Linked DNA regions of Callithrix jacchus. The protein of the gene in region 1 interacts with the protein of each later gene in a biochemical or structural test. Links are inferred from orthologs where the notes say so. Each region holds a gene or a part of one and is shown on either strand. Other genes may lie near its edges.

What was found.
Region 2: of the proteins of DYRK1B (region 1) and HNF1A, one has a biochemical effect on the other in vitro, tested with the Homo sapiens proteins (2 studies listed by IntAct, with this or other methods). The link is inferred for Callithrix jacchus from reciprocal best matches to the Homo sapiens genes DYRK1B and HNF1A.

The regions. Positions count from the first base shown.
Region 1 is NC_133523.1:35,101,386-35,109,519, reverse strand, and holds the end of DYRK1B (dual specificity tyrosine-phosphorylation-regulated kinase 1B), read right to left. Parts: coding exon 8,090-8,134; intron 7,758-8,089; coding exon 7,610-7,757; intron 6,417-7,609; coding exon 6,130-6,416; intron 5,514-6,129; coding exon 5,367-5,513; intron 5,283-5,366; coding exon 5,142-5,282; intron 4,843-5,141; coding exon 4,527-4,842; intron 4,129-4,526; coding exon 4,022-4,128; intron 3,936-4,021; coding exon 3,564-3,935; 3' UTR 3,199-3,563; downstream 1-3,198.
Region 2 is NC_133510.1:124,133,120-124,142,001, reverse strand, and holds the end of HNF1A (hepatocyte nuclear factor 1-alpha), read right to left. Parts: intron 8,843-8,882; coding exon 8,601-8,842; intron 6,650-8,600; coding exon 6,498-6,649; intron 6,363-6,497; coding exon 6,161-6,362; intron 5,387-6,160; coding exon 5,195-5,386; intron 3,220-5,194; coding exon 3,098-3,219; intron 3,009-3,097; coding exon 2,864-3,008; intron 1,425-2,863; coding exon 1,297-1,424; 3' UTR 50-1,296; downstream 1-49. UniProt on the Homo sapiens protein: Transcriptional activator that regulates the tissue specific expression of multiple genes, especially in pancreatic islet cells and in liver. Binds to the inverted palindrome 5'-GTTAATNATTAAC-3'.

The DNA.
Region 1 (8,134 bases):
CATAAGGGGTAAACACCCAAACTCCTTATGGCATCCACAAGATCTAACCTCTTGCTCTGCATCAGCCTCAGGTCTCCAACCGACACAAACTCTTATCTCTTAAAGAAGCTAATGCCTACTCCTTCATCACCACAAACCCGTTTCCTAGGGTCCGGATCTGATTTCCCATCAAGTGTTCTTATAGCACTCTCTACCTTCTTCGTAATTTCACACGTGATTATTTGATGGTCTGAACTACCATCCCCGTTACTGTAGGTTCTATGGGGGTAGGGAAAGCATTTTGTTCTCGGCTGTGTTCCCTATGCTGAGTAGAAAAAAGAGGTGAGGTGAAATACTTGCTGAATGTCTTGAGCCCCCAGAAAACTTTAAGGCAGCCCCTTTGAGTTCTGTAGAAAGGGGATCAGTAGTCTCCAGCATGCTGGGATCCAGATGTGTGCTGTTCAATAGTTTATTTGATAAGTAGTTACTGAGTCCTGTGTTCCAAGAACTTTTCTCTGTGTTGGAGATAACAGAGGAAGTAGACAAAAGCCACTGCCCTCACAAAGTCAACAGTCTCCTAGAGGTAGGGGTCAGGGGAGACAGACAATAAACATAAACACAGACAAATTCTAGAGTGTTAAACAGTAATATGATTAATGCTAAGGATAAAGTGAAAGAGCAAAGATAGATGTGACTATTAGTGGTACCATTTTAGAAGGGTGGTGAGGGAAGACCTCAGGAAGGCAGCGGCATCTCAGGGGATACCTAAAGAGGAAGGAGCGAGTCTGGGCTATTTGGTAGATGAGTTCCTCAGGTAAAGAGAAGACTAAGCGCAAAGGCCCTGGGGCCAGTGCACTTGGAGCAGAGGGAGTAAGGAGAGATGATGTCAGAGGCGTGATGAGGGCAGACAATGCAGAGCCTTGCAGAGGACTCTGGTTTTTACCCTGAGTGAGAGGAACCTCAGAAGGGTTCCGAGCAGGTGAGGAATATGACCTGATACAGGTGCTCACAGCATCCCTCTACCTGCACGTGAGAAACACTCTGGGGGCAGGTAAGAGCAGGGAGGTCACTGAGGAGGCTGCCATCATGGTCTGGGAAGGAGATAAGGGAGGACAGGGTGAAGGTGGGGAGAAGTGGTCAGGTTCTGGGTATTTGCTGACAGACATGGATCAAAGAGAGAGAGAGGAGTCCAGGACAACTGCAGTGGTTTGGGCCTGGAGAGGGTGGAGGGAACATATTGAGATGAACATGGGGGGAATAAATTCTGGGGAAAGGAGCAGGAGCTCAATTCTACCAAAATTATTCTGAAGATACCACTAGATTATCAACAGGTGTCAAGTAGGCCGTCGGTCAGGAGCTCAGAGGAGAGATTCTGGATGGATATAGAAATGTGACATATGCATTTCTATGCCTCCCTACAAATTCCTCACAAGACTTACCTGATCTGGCCCTGCTAATGTCTCCTTAGTAAGTCAATGGTATACACACATACATACACACACACACACACACACACACACACACACACACCTGAGCCCTCCTCTTCCTAGATATTGGTAATGGTCAAGTTTCCTAATCTTTTCCATCCTAGGTATCATTTACGAATGGGAGAGTACATCAGCACCTGACTCCTAGGATTGTTCATTCAAGACATCAGTTACTGAGCATCTGCTCTAAGCGCTCGAGATACCTCGAGATATCTTTTCCCATCCCTCTGTCTCCCCCTCCCAAACAGCCTGTCACCCTTCTCGTCATCTCTCCTATCTCCTCTTGCCCTCCCTACGGTGGCCTCTGCCCTGATCCGTTTCCAACATCTCTTGCCTAGGAATCTGCCAAAGCTGCCACCCTGGGTTCCCGAACCTGTCATTTTCCCGTTAATCTATTCTCATGTCACAACGAACCGGGCCGTGGTCCTTCCCAACTAAAAATCCTCCTATGGCTCTTCATTGCCCTCAGGACAAAATCCAAGCTCCCTAAAAGGTCAAGAAACTTCCACATCTCATATGAATTTTCAGCATGCACATCAACACCAGATCACCTGCAGCCCGTGTTCACACAACAGTCTGTTTCTCACTGCCTTTGCACAAACCATTCCACCACACCGCCCCCGACGCCCAAAACATCCGTCTTCAGTCTCAGCTCAGACAGCTCCTAGTCTTCGGGGATGATCCTCCTACCAGTGCCTCCTCGGGTTCCCACCGTGTTCTACGGCGCCTCCATTAGTGAACATACAGAGGTCCGCAACGGGATCCTTGCCTGTCTCTTCCACTGAGTGGGGCCTCCCGCAAGCCGGACCAGACACAGCGGCCAGTGATGTCCGCGTGCTAGGGCCAATTCAGGCCTCGGCGTCTACCGCCTGCTCCGGAACCATGAGAGACAACCTGCACGCTCTCCTGGTACGGTGCTGCGCCCACCTTACACACGCCTCAAGACCTCCGCCTCCTAAACACCATAACATCCGGGCCCCGGCTACCTCAGACCGCCCATTGGCCACCTGTAAACCCGCCCCAAGTGTGTGAGTGAAAAGAACTCTGGTTGTTGCAGTCCCCACGACAAAAAACCCAGAAAGCGATGGCTACGTAGAACTCCATTTCCCATGAAGCACCGTGCCCAAGTGGTGAGAGACGGTACCCTTTGAACTGGACAGTTCTTGATTGGCCAGTTGGGAGGTGTACATCTCCAAATTACCACGGAAACAGGACCACTTACCTGAAACCCCGGGAAAATCTTTTTGCTTCCGATCTCAAAACGCTTTGTTTCGCCGTGACTCCAAACGGTTGGACCATAGGCATATGGGGGCAGAACCTGTACCTATTGTCTGCCTATTCCCCAGATAGCGCCAGCAAAGCCCGCTAAGTGCACTGAGAGGCTACTGGACGCCTGCTTGGCATGAAAAGCCACTTCTGTGCTGAGTCTGCAGAAGCTCCGGCTTATTAGGGCACCTGTTTCCCAGAGACAGGCCAGAGCTGAACCGTTACCCTTTCAGCGTCTGTTTGCCCCGGAAAAGACAAATGTAGGCCAGGATCCTAACCACAATCTAAGATGCTGGTGCCCCAGACCTGCAGCCCCATGCCTGCCCCAAGAGCCACAGCTTCCCCACAAAGAGATGTCTTCACACCACAGAGCTCCTCCAGCACCCCCTCCCCAAATCCCCTTCCCCACCATGGCTCTGAGGATCGGGTGAGGGAAGCCGAGGCCCTGCAAACGCTCAGGCAGGCATGTGAGAAAGCTCTTTACTGGGAGTACAGCGAGGAGGAGCAAGGCCATCTCCCCCTACCTGCCCCCACCCCCTCCTAGGGTCCTGGGGTAAGGGGGGGGTCTTCCCTCCACCGGACCACCACTGTCTTTGGTACAATAAATAGAAAAAAAGGGGGAGAGGGGGCCAAGGGTCCAGTCCATAGTGGGGAGGGAGTGACCAAACCCCTCTCCTTGACCCCCTGCCCCAGGCCCCAATCAGTGCAGGCCTCACCCACCCCAGCTGGGTAGCAGCAATTCCAGTCAAGGAGAGAGATGAGGATGGGAGCCCAGGGCCCCCAGATGGGGGGGGGTATGGCTTCAGGAGGGGCCCCAGGGAGGGGGCAGGGTCATGAGCTGGCTGCCGTGCTCTGGGGTACACCACGGAGGCCCAGGTGAGGCCCTAGAGTGGCAGGGTCATCAGGAGGCGGGAGGGGTGGACGACCTCCCGTCATCCGAGTCCGGAGGGCTGAGGCAGCCGGGTGCTGGGGGGCAGGCGCTGGGTGAGGTGGGGAGCAGTCAGCAGGGCCGCCCACCAGGCTCACATCCATCAGCTCCGGGGGTGGTGGTGAGGTTGGTGATGGGGGACGGCCAAGGTATCGGGGCTGGGGGGGTAACTGGGCCCCAGTCCCAGGCAGTGACGAGGCAGAGGCAGAGGCTTGATGCGTCTTGTGTAGCACATCACCCCCTGCCCAGGGCCGCAGCGGCTGGGATGGTGGGACCTAAAAAAGCAAAGGAGCCATGGGTGATGGAGACCCGGGTCCTTAAGCCCCAGGTACCCCATCGCCCACCTTCAAAGCCCCAGTACCTGGGGACTGTTCATCTCACAGTCAGTGATAGGGGGCCCAGGGCCCCCACAATATCGGTTGCTGTAGCGGTAGGTCCGGTTGTCACTGGAGGAGCCACTGGAGCCTCCTGGAAGTGCCAGGGAGGAGAGGGGAAGGGGCATAATGTGAGGGAAGGTAGTGAGTGGGTTTTGGGATGACTGAGTACAGCTCAGGGCCCACGCTCAGGTTTAGGCTTCGAGATCAGAGCCCACTTGAAGAACCAGGACCGATTTTGAGATTTGGGGCTGGAATTCAGTTTGGGGTTTTAGAGTCAAAACCAGTTTCAAGGTTGAGCCCGAGCCCAAGCCCAATTTCAGATTATGTCAGGACCAGTCACAGCTCTCCCACCCTACATGTCATCTTAGAGTTTAGGATCAGGCAGCTTCAGAGCTTGTGTGAATGCCCAGTAACAAGGTCACCCAGGACAGGCCAAACCTGAGCAGCCCCTACCCCTGTTGTACCCCATTTGGGCACCTGGGCACCCACCAGAACTGGAGATGGAGCTGGCGGTGCTGGAAGAGGGGCAGGTGTCGAGGGGTGCGGGCGAGGTGGAGGCACTGCTGCCTGCCGGGCCCGTGTTGGTGGCCTCGTCGGCCGTGCGGCGGAAGAAGCCGTGCTGCAGAGCCCCGAGTGGGCTGATGCGGGCGGCAGGCTCATACTCCAGCATGCGCAGCACCAGGTCCTGGAAGCGGAGGTAGTCGGCGGGGCTGTGGCCCGGCTCCCCCGCCCGCCGGCCCCCGGGCCCGCCCGTCTGCACGCCCAGCACCTCCTGCAGCCGCCGTGTCCCGGGGCCCTGGTAATCCTGGCAGGGAGGGGGTGGGAGGGGGGGCAAGAGAGTGGCCGTCAGTGGGCAGGAGGGGCAGGAAGACACACACGGGGAAACAGAGGCACAAGAGAGAAAGTGGAAAGAGAGAAGCTAAGAAGAGCTGTGGGGTGGGAAGGAGAGGGGGAGATGGGGTGGGCAGGGGAGGAAGGAAAGGACAGACAAAGGGGAGAGGAAGGAAGGGAAAGACACAAGGGAGAGGGAGCAGGGGAGAGAGCCCCAAGTGTGAGTGAGGGGCCAGCGGGGTGGGAGGAAGTGGCATGGGGCAGGGGCCGCACCTTCCTGAGTTCTTTTGTCCTTCGTAGGGTCCAGCCACCCCCAGGCAGCCGTTCAAAGTACTTGCGAGCCTTGGGCGCCTGGTCCAGCATGGCGGCCGGCGGGATGCCCAGCACTTCCACAATGCGGTTCATCTGGTCCACCTGTGAACAGGCAAGGGTCAGAGTCATCAGGCAGGCCAGGCTCCACCCCCTCCACCTCCAGCACACCCCTTCCTGGGTGCACACCTCATTGGAGCCACTGAAGAGGGGCTCTCCGGTGTGCATTTCCACAAGGATGCAGCCCAGGGACCACATGTCAATGGCCAGGTCGTAGGGTGTGCCCAGGAGCACCTCAGGCGAGCGGTAGAAGCGGCTCTGGATATACTGGTAGATCTGGGGAAAGGGCAATCGTCAAGGGTCCCAGCCTCCCTTACTGGTCCCACTGACATCCCCAAAGCTGAGGACCCAACAGAGGATAGGCCTCTTGCTGCCAAACTGGGGACTGAGGCTCCAAATCCTGCCATTGTGAGCACCAATTTTCTGGGAGCCAATCTTCTTTACCAGCCTGGGGAGTCTGCTGGCCTAGACAGACCTTGATCTCCACCCCCAACCCTGACCCTGGGCCCTTCTGGATCACCAGGCAAAGGCTGACATTCCATAAGCCCTTTCATCAGCAGCTCACATGGAGCTGCAAAGTTGAAGCCTTCCACCTCCATCCCCAGCTTTAAGAACACAGGATACAAAAACTTATCCAAGCAGCCCCCCTGGCTCTAACCCAACCCAACTTCACCCTGCTCACATCTGGCAGCTTCAAAATGGGCCCTGTCCCCTCAGGCTTCACTCTTCCCATCGTAGCTGGCAGTATACCCCCACCCCCACCCCAAGCACTATCCTACTTCCAGCAGCTCCTAATAATCCCATCCCAGCCTAGCCCCGCCCCTAAGCCTCCCCACTGGCCCTGCCCCACCCAAATCACAAGCCCTGCCCCCAGGACAGGGCCAACCCATACCCTCTGGCCAAGCTGGCAGGAGCTGCCAAAGTCCACGATCTTGATGGCACTGCGCTTGGGGTTGCAGAGCAAGATGTTTTCAGGCTTGAGGTCGCAATGAATGATGCTGAGCTCAGGCGTGGCCAGAAAGAGCAGGGCCGTACAGAGCTGCTGCGCCAGCTTCCGAGTTAGGTTCAGCGAGACGCCACGGAAGTGGGTGTTGCGCAGGAGGTCGTACAGGTTGTAGGACAGCAGCTCAAACACCAGGCACAGGTGGTTCCGGAACATGAAGTGCCGCTTCAGGTGCACTGTGAGGGAAGGGAGGAAATGGGTCAACAGAGAAGAAACGGCTCAGAGAGGGCAGGTGGTGGCCTGGGGTCACATGATGTTCTTAGAGGACCAGCCACATTGTGCTGTGCCCATGGGTACCATCTGCCAGTCACGATCTCTTTATCTAACAACTAGATTCACAAAGGAAGTTAGTTCTCTTTCCAAGTCTCTATGAAACCTTCCAATTACCAAAGAGAGTTTCGCTACACTTCCTCGTTTCGTTTCCTAACACTGCTCTCATCTCGGTTGTATTCATTTTTGTGGCAAAGGAGATTGGTTTTCCATTTACTTTAAGAATGTATGTTTTCCTTTCAAACAAAACAATTTTAAAATCTACTTGCTGCTTATGATTATGCTATGTGATGTTTATGTCCACGAGGAGGAAATCAGTTTAAGAGAAAAGACTGGCATAGATAGATGTTAAGAGTAACAGCTCTGGAGTCCACGGCCTCATTAAATCATACAGCTCAATGAGTACAAACTGCCACCTCATGCAAGTGATAGCACTTGAATGCCTGGGTTCCTTTTTTTCTTTCTTCACTTTTTTTTTGAGACAGAGTCCCGCACTTTCGCCAGGCCTGGAGTGCAGTGGTGTGATATCAGCTCACTGCAACTTCCACCTCCCAGGTTCAAGCAATTCCCCTGCCTCAGCCTCCCAAGTAGCTGGGACTACAAGGGCACACCACCACGCCCAGCTAATGGTTTTGTATTTTTAGTAGAGACAGGGTTCCACCATGTTGATCAGGATGTTCTTGATCTCTTGACCTCGTGGTCCTCCTACCTTGGCCTCCCAAAGTGTTGGGATTACAGGCATGAGGCACTGCACCTGCCATTTTTTTTTTTTTTTTTTAATTTAAGAACTAGAATGGAAGCCCAGGTTTCTTACCTTCAAGATGTGGGCAATAATGCCTTTCCCCTTATGGGCTGTGGTGAGTTAACTTACATAAAGTGCTTCTAAGAGAGCCTGGCCCTTGGTGAGCACTCAGTAACCTCTGATCATGAGCAAGTAAATAGGACAACAATGATCAAAGCAGCAGGAGAATCACTGATGTCAGTGAAGCACAGACCAAACCCTGCTCTGAAGACACCAGCTTCCTCCTGAGGGTGGGCCAGGAGGGTGACCCATCCCTACCAGCTCCAGCTTCCGCTATCCCAGGTGCCCAGGCCTCACCTATGTAGTACTTCATCTCCGTGTCATGCTGGTTCATCAGCTCCAGCAGCCGCAGCTCAATCTGGGCCTGGTTCAGAAAGGCCTTTTTGTTCTTGATGATCTTGATAGCCACGAGTTCCTGGGTCTGATGGTCATAAGCTTTCACCACCTGTTGGGGAAGGGCGTGTCACAAAGGAAGGGGTGGGGGCAGGACAGAGCCAAGCACCATTCTTCTCCCTCCAGGCAAGGAGACACACTGGTAACACTATGAATACTTCACAGTTGAGTGCGCACCATTAGTCAGGCACTGGTGTAAACACTGGACGTGAAATAACGTAACCACCTTATGTTGCACCTTGTTATTTGAACTATTTTACAGAAAAGGCAGCTGAGGCACAGGTGAGCGGCCCAGCATGGGACGACTTGAAGCCACTGAACCCTTGGGTGTGTGGTCGACGTTAGTGGGGCCCAGGATCAGGGTGGGAGGGGGGTGTCCCACACCTGGCCAAAGGAGCCTTTGCCAATGAGCGAGTCAATCTCGTAGCG
Region 2 (8,882 bases), on another chromosome or scaffold:
CTCTGCCTGCCCAAACTCCCCCCCGAATGATTTGTGGACAAGCAAGATGTTTCCACCACATTTCTCCTTGGCTTTACTAAAAGTTAAATAAATCTGCCGCTCGCCCCGGCTGGCTACAAGCTGCAGGGGTGCCGGGTCGCCCAGGCCTTCTGAATCCCAGGGTGGTGGTGGCGCTCCAAAGACCAGGTTCTCAGCAGCAGGCGCAGAGACATGGGGCCATGCTTGCCCGGGCTTCACAGGCTCCTGTGTCCCTCCTGGTGGTGCTCAGGACCTTGGACTCCTCTGGTGGCTGCGAAATGCCCTCAGCCAGCCAGGGCCCTGAGCTCCTGAGCTTAGTCCTGTCCACACAGGCAGCTCCTCTGCCCTGGGTCGCCTCTTTCTTCTCCTGGGCACCTCAGCCTGGCCAGCTGCTTGGGCTTTGCTACCTTCTGAGCTCAGCAGCTTCTCCCCAGACAAGGGCAGGGTCTGCCCCACAGGACCTGGACTTGGCACGGGTCACAAGGCTCCCACAGGAGTAAGGACGACCTCCTAGCTCTGAAGCGGCCTTCCTCATAGAGGCAGGAGGCCGGGTTGGCCTCGGGGGTGTGATGCTTTTGGGAACTGATAGCCAGGAAAGATGGAGGTCCTGGGGCCCGGGAGAGGGAATCGCTGGGGACCAGGGAAGCTGGGAGACCCTGCCTACCTTCCCTGTTAGCTTCAGCCCCCCTGGGCGTGGGCATTGGAGCCCCATGCCCTGGCACAGAGTAGCCACCCAGGAAATGCCTATGTGAGTAGATAACGGGATCAGTACAAAGGGCATGTGTGTCCCTAGCTGGAAGGAGTGGGGGCGGGAGGGAGTGGCCCTGTGGGTGCATAGGTGACAGAACAAGGCCACACTGACCCAGGACCGCTCAGAGCTCAGCACGTCACAGCTACACAAGCCTGTGTCCTGAGAAGTGTGGCTGCCAGAGTGGTGTAGGTGTCCCAGGGCTCTCCACAGGCCCAGGCTGGGGATGCCCAAGTCACAGGCTGCCCCCTTCATATCCCAAACAGCAGGGACAGTCCTTCCATCTGCCAGGAACAGACTCTGCTCACGCTCTCCATGGCCCCCTTGTGTGCAACCCGAGCAGCCCTCTGCAGGTTGGGGCGCCTCAGAGCCCTCCCTTTCTGATGCGTCACAGCAAAGCAGGGAGCGAGGCGCAGCTTTCCAGGAAGAGCAGCAGGAGCCCGGCTGGCTCAGGTCCTCCAGGCAGGGCTGGCTGCTGCCCTCATTGCCCCCAGTCAGGCAGTACAGGCTCCAGGGCCCAGGTGCCGTGGTTACTGGGAGGAAGAGGCCATCTGCGTGGAGATGAAGGTCTCGATGACGCTGTGGTTGGACGGTAGCAGGTGGCTGTGGCCATTGCTGGAGTCTGAGCTCTGGTACAGCACCAGGCTGCTGGAGGACACTGTGGAGGCAAACGAGGCTGCTGGCCGCACACAGCCACCCTGACCCACCCCTCCTGCCCCAGAACACTTGGGACAAGGAGGCAGGGCCACACCTCCTGGATCACAGCAGATAACAGGAACCCCAAAGTCAAACCTCTACTCTCAGTTCTTAACAAGGGGAGCCTCCCAGCCAGGCTCTGGGGCTGCCCAGGGAGTGGCCTCAGTACACCTTAGTGGGAACGCTGGAGAAGCCCCAGTGAGATGCCGGGGCAGGCAGCTGTAAACATGTTGGCTTGGTGAGGCTGAGTCAAACGCTCATCTAACTGCTGTTGTGAATGCAGGTGCTTTGTAGATGTGGTTAACGCCACAACCGGTTGGCTTTGCGGTAAAGGAGTTTACCCTGAAAATATGGGTGGGCCTCCTCCATCAGCAGAAGGCCATAAGAGCAAAAATGGGTTTCCAGAGAAGAAAGAATTCTGCCTCAAGGCTGCAGAACTCTCTCTCGAGGAAGTTCCCAGCAACAGATTTCAGGTTAGGCAGTCCCCACAGTCTCCAGCCAAGTCCTTCAAGTCAGTCTATTGGTTCTGGGTTTCTGGAGAAACCTGACTAATGGAAATGGTTAAGAGAATGGGCTTTGAGGTTGGACCTGGGTTCGAGTCCTGGCCCTGCTGTCTGGTAGCTGTGGGAGACGAGGCAAGTCCCTCCCCTCCTTAAGTGTCCATGTTCTCATCGGTAAAATGGGGGTGATTGTGCACACGCCTCCCGAGGTGAAGCATGGAGCCAGGACACAGAATGCCTTCAGTGGCTGTCATGATGGCTGCCAGGGTTGGGGCCAAGAACCTTAGAGAAAGGGGCAACTTGGCATAAAGGCAGGTGCAGAGCCAGCCACCTGACTCCAAATGCCCACTCCTGACAATGACATCATAGATTACAAACTCCGAGCCAATGTGAGTGGATGTAGTGGGGCCTGGTGAGCTGTTATGTGGGAATATGAATTTTTCCAGTTTTCCAAAAGATGCTGGAAATCCGGATTTCTATGTGAAAATTCACGATTTTGAAATGTTGGCAACAAATTTCAAAGAATGTTCAACCCTGAGCCAAGCCAAACCAAAAGCGTGAAAGAGTTGCTTCTGGCTCACAGACCTGGTCCTTATCATCCTCCGCCGCTGCCTCTAACAATGACTTCACCTTTTTCCTCAACTTAGTCCCTGAGATGTTCCTGTGAGGTGGGCCCATCTTCCTGGGGTCGCCGTGCATTTTGGGCTTCATGGGCGCACAGGCCGTGTCTGGGAGGCGGGAACCCCACCCCACCCCCCATGCCTGCGGGGGCTTCCTCGCCGAAGCCCTAGGCTTACTGCATGCACTGCCCCACAGCGACGGGGGACGACAACGAAAGGGGCGGGACCAACACGGAAGGGGCGGGGCCATCAAGGGATGGGGCGGGGCCAGGGCCTCTTACTTGTGGGGCTGGCGCTGAGCCGGTGGGCGGGCTGCAGGTGCTGAATGCCAGCAGGATCCTGGCTGGGGACGTGAAGGGTGGTAGCCTGAGAGGCTGGCGTGTGAAGCCCGGACTCACTGGAGGCCTCGGTGTCTGAGGTGAAGACCTGGGGGAGCAGAGCAGACTCCTGAGCCCCTGGGGTGTGGCGGTGAGGGCTCTGGCTCAGGCGAGGGAGAGCGGCAGACTAGGCCTTACCTGCTTGGTGGGCGTGAGGCTGGCCAGGGCGCTCAGGTTGGTGGTGTCGGTGATGAGCATGGTCTGCGGGAGCAGGCCCGTGTGCGTGTACTGGGCTACCTCGGGCTTGTGGCTGTAGAGGGCTGGCCGCAGGGGAGAGAGGGGCAGACATGGCAGGCGTGCCTGACAGCCCCTGACAGCCCCCGACCCAGGCCTCAAGACTGGGGAAAGAGGGGCTTGGGGCCTTGCTGAACGGCCAGACTGGGTCTGGGTTGGAGATTCAGGGCTGATTATCAAAACTGGGGGCTCCAGATAGAGGGACAGACCCTCTCCCCATTACAGGGGCCTGCTCAGCTGGGATTGATGCGAGGGAGCCTGGAGGCGGTTAGGAACCAACTCCAGCTACTCTTGTCACCTGGAGACAGCAGGTATGAAAGGGAACGGGAGGTGTGGGTGCAGGTGCTACTGTACTAAATGCAGGCACTATGTACTAAGCACAGATGTTACCCTACTAAATACAGGTGCTATGCACTAAGCGCAGGTGCTACTGTACTAAACACAGGTGCTATGTACTAAGCACAGGTGCTACTGTACTAAACACAGGTGCTATGTACTAGGCACAGGTGTTACCCTACTAAATACAGGCGCTATGCACTAAGCGCAGGTGCTACTATACTAAACACAGGTGCTATGCACTAAAGACAAGGTCTATGTACTAAGTGCAGATGCTGGTGTCGTTTAGAAGAAAGGCAGGTGGCCCCTGTCAAAGAACAAGGCAGAGGACAGCAGTACCTCCATCCCCAGCCCACCTCTCCAAATATAACCCATATCTTGCCTACAGCACCCCCACCCACCCCAAAGGAGACACACAGACCCCACAAGAGGCACACAGACACTAGCAAAACACACATAAACCACATATTCTCACAGTGACTCAGATAAAAACATAATGCACTTAAATACATACACTCTCAACCATGCACACACAAAGAAATATACAGGTCCAAAACCTCTTAACCCAGTTCCAAATTCCAAAAAGGTTTTGAAACCAAAAGATGTCCTTAAGATTGGCACTAGAGCTCATTTGGTGGCAAACCCAACCTGAACTTGACATGAGGTTATGTGTGTATTGAACCTGCTTTGTGGAAATCCTGCCTTTGGCTGCAGAAATAGCAGCGCTTGGATCACAGGGTCTGTCCCAAACCCTGCTGGGAGTGTTACGTGATAGCTGGCATAGTCACCAAATTACTATTTTTTTTTTTTTTTGAGATGGAGTCTCGCCCTATACTACCAGGCTGGAGTAGAGACGGGGTTTCACCATCTTGGCCAGGCTGGTCTTGAACTCCTTACCTCAGGTGATCTGCCCTCCTTGGATGGGATTACAGGTGTGAGCCTTCGTGAGGCCTTTTTTTTTTTTTTTTTTTTTTTTTGACAGAGTCTTGCTCTGTTGCCCAGGCTGATCCACCTTCCAAAGTGTTGGGATTACAGGTGTGAGCCTTTTTTTTTATTGTATTTTGGAGACAGAGTCTTGCTCTGTTGCCCAGGCTGGAGTGCAGTGGGGCAATCTCAGCTCACTGCAACCTCTGCCTCCCGGGTTCAGGTGATTCTCCTGCCTCAGCCTCCCGAGTAGTTGGGACTACAGGCACGTGCTTCCACACCTGATTAATTTTTGTATTTTTAGTAGAGATGGGGTTTCACCATGTTGGCCAGGCTGGTCTCAAACTCCTGATCTCAAGTGATCCACCAGCTTTGGCCTCCCAAGGTGCTGGGATTACAGGCGTGAGTTACCACAATGGCCCCACATTACCTTTCTAAAATCTGAATAGTAGATTCTGAAATCGATATGGCCCTAAGAATTTCAGAGAAACATGGGCATGCATAGCTGATAAACACCCAGACACGCAATAGGGATGTGCCCACACAGACATGCACACACACACACAGATACACACATGAACATGGGAACACACTGGCCTGCAGGCACCCTCAATCACAGAAACACACTTGTCCCAGAGACACACTTGGACCACAATCCCTGCCAGGCACCCCCTTCCCCTGTATCCATTGACAGCCAACCTCTGTCATCATTTCCCCCTGCGTGGGGTACAGGGGGCTCACCGTGGGGGTTCTGCAGCTGGGCCATGGTGGCCATGAAGGGGCTCTGGGTCATGTGGCTCTGCACGGGTGGCATGAGTGGTTGCTGGTAGGAGGGGTGCAGTGGCTGGGAGAACTGGACAGGCTGCAGGGTGGTCAGGCTGCTGCCCATGCTGTTGATGACTGGCACACTCTGTGCCTGAGTGGAGGCCAGGCCTGGAGTGGAAGCAGTGGGAATCAGCTAGGCCCCCCAGTTATATCCCACCCACCCCTAGGCCTCCTAGGGGCACCACCTCTCCCTCCCAGAACCCATGGGTTGGAGGAGGGGGCAGGGTGGTCAGGAAACAGCCCTCCACTGGGACCTGCCACTAATTTAAGTGGCCCTGGCAAGTCATTCCCCCTGTCTGAGCCTTTAGCTCCTTATCTCGGCTAGTGGGAGAGGCAGTCAGTGACTTGTTCAAAAATCATCAAACTGGGGTTCCCTGGAGCGCCAAGGCCCTGGAGTTAGCTCTCTGCTCCCCTCTCTCAGCAGCTCCCTATCTATATGTTCTGGGCTTCTGCATAATTGTACCTGCAAATAAAGGCTTTCTGGGCCTAATTTTTCTTCATAAAACAAAAAACTTCAAAGACAAATCCTCTAGCCTGCAGAGGATTTGTGATAAAAGAGGAAAACATAATGCTAAACGATATTAAAAAAAAAAATCAGTCCCCTTACCCTGCTGTAATTTGCATAGACCCTTCACCTGAGGAGCCACAGAATTGATGTATTAGGCCTTCTGCCTGCCTCCCCACTTGAGTTGCTGAGATTTTGGTCTGTTTGGTTCAATCAGGTATCACTGACGTAGTACAGTGCCTGGTCCAGAGTAGGCACTGGGTAGATACATGTTGAATGAATGAATGAATGAGTCCCACTGGCTCTTCCAGCTCCTGGATCCTGCAGTTGCCCCATGAGCCTCCCACCCAGGTGCCCACCCGTCCCCACCAGCTTACCAATGACCAGGGTGGAGGCACCTGTGTTGGTGAACGTGGGACCCAGGGAGGCGGGCTCACCAGGCCCAATGGTCATGACCCCAGGAAGTGAGGCCATGATGAGGTTCTGGGGCTGCTGGTTGAGGCCTGGGGATGTCTGCTCCAAGCTGTGCAGTGCTGTCAGGGTGCTGACAGGGGGGAGTGGGCCCCCAGTTGCCGAGACCTACAAGGGGAAGCTGACCTGAGTTGGGGGCTGGGGCAGCATCCCATCCCCACAGGGCCTCCCTTGGGACTGCTCGGGAATCTCCCTGCCAAGGAAAGATGAGGCTGGATTTTTCCTACAGGCAGGGACACTCACCAGCTTGGCTTCCGTGCTCAGGAGGCTGTGGCTGGGCTCCAGGCCCGTGGGGGACACTTGGTGCAGGGGTGTAGACACTGTCACTAAGGGACCACCGCTACTTGAGGGCACTTCTGCAGTCTCACTGGTTGCAGGCTGTCCATAGCGCACACCTGGAGGAGAAACAGTGTCCAGCCCCCGCACCCACTTCCCGGCCCTCCCCTGCCCCCTAGCCCACCTCACTTCTAACGGCATCGGTGTGCTTAGGCCAGCTGCCTGTCTGTCTGTATGCAGCCAGCAAACTGCCTGTGCTTCTTCCTTGTGCCAAGCCCTGGGTCAGCTGCTCCCAGTTCCTTGAAGGCTGAGACTGCATTTATTAGCTCCATTCTCCCCCACTGCCTGGTGCTATGCCTCTACATGCGGTAGATGCTCCGTAAAAGACAACTAAACTGAATTTAACTGAATTTAGTTGAATTGAAATGAATTGATACAATCTGAAATGAATGAATTGAAGTAACCCAAATCAAGTTAGGCTGAATTGAGTGGAATCATAAAAAGTAGAGTGGATGGTGTGGAGTACAATAGATGGAACTGAATGGAATGAGGGGAATCAAGTGGAATGGGTCCACTGGAGTGGTAAAGGGTGGAGAGGATGGGTGGGGAGGAATAGAGTGAGGTGGAATGGTGTAGGGTAGAGTGGATGGAATGGTGAGGAATAGCGGGGTGTGGACTGGAATGAATGGAGTGGCTAGCATGGAGGGGATGGAGTAGAGTGGAATGGATGGAGTTTGTGAATAGAGTGGAAGGGACGGAGTAGAGTGGAGTGAGTGGGTGGAGTGGAGGGGATGGAGTGGGTGGAGTGGAGGGGATGGAGTAGAGTGGAATGGATGGAGTTTGTGAATAGAGTGGAGGGGATGGAGTAGAGTGGAGGGGATGGAGTGGGTGGAGTGGAGGGGATGGAGTAGAGTGGAATGGATGGAGTTTGTGAATAGAGTGGAAGGGATGGAGTAGAGTGGAGTGAGTGGGTGGAGTGGAGGGGATGGAGTGGGTGGAGTGGAGGGGATGGAGTAGAGTGGAATGGATGGAGTTTGTGAATAGAGTGGAGGGGATGGAGTAGAGTGGAGTGAGTGGGTGGAGTGGAGGGGATGGAGTAGAGTGGAGGGGATGGAGTAGAGTGGAATGGATGGAGTATGTGAATAGAGTGGAGGGAATGGAGTAGAGTGGAATGGATGAAATGTAGAGTCATGTGGAGTGGAGTGGATGGAGATGAGTGGTTGGACAATTAGAATAAACCGTTATGGAGTAGAGAGGAGTGGAGGAAGAGTGGGTAGAGTGGGTGGAGTCAGTTGGGTGGAGTGGATGCAGTGGAATCTAATGGAGTTGGATGGAGTGCAGTGGATGTAATGGGTGGAGTGGAGTGGATGGAATGGGTGGAGTGGAGTGGATGGAGTGGCATTGAATGAAGTGATGGAGTCGCGCTAAATGGAGTGGATGGAATAGAGTATGGAGTGAATAGAGTAGAGTTGAATGTAGTAGATGGAGTGGAGTTGAATGAAGTGGATAGAGTTGAGTGGACAGTGGAGTATGGAGTGGATGGAGTGCTGGATGGAGTGGTGTTGAATGGAGTTGATGGAATGAAGTTGGATGGAATGGATGGAGTGGAGTCGATGGAGTAGATGGAATGGAGTGGAATTGAATGGAGTAGAGTGAATGGAATGGGGCTAATTTAGTGGATGGAATGAAGTTGGATGGAATGGATGGAGTGGAGTTGATAGAGTTGGTGGAATGAAGTTGGATGGAGTATGTGAATAGAGCGGTGGGGAATGGTATAGATGGAATGGAGTGGAAGTGAATGGAGTGAATGGAGAGTGGTGTGAATGGAATGGGGTTAATTGTAGTGGGTGGAGTGGAGTGGGATGGAGTGAAGAGAGTGGAAAGGAGTAGAGTGAATGGAATGGAGATAGAGCAGAAGGGATGAAGGGACAGAGTGAAGTGGAGTGATAAGGAGTGGCGGGAATGGAATGGAATGGAACCCAGCAGAAGTGCTAAGAGGTTTAGGTGAGTGCTGTCACTCCCCAACCCGCCCACCTACCCACACGTCCCCTGTTCCCACATACCACTCACCGTGGACCTTACTGGGGGAGAGGGCGGGTGGGGGCAGGCCAGGGGAGCTATGAGCAGGCAGCGCAGGTCCCGGGCCTGGCCCTGGTGGGGGCCCACTATATGTGTCCATGGCCAGCTTGTGCCGGAAGGCTTCTTCTTTGCGCCGGTTGGCAAACCAGTTGTAGACACGTACCTCTGTGACGAGGTTGGAGCCCAGCCCCTGTGCCTGTGATGGGGACACCCCCCTCTGGATGCATTCCGCCCTGCAGAAATAGTCACCCATGAGCCTCCAGGCCAGGCTCA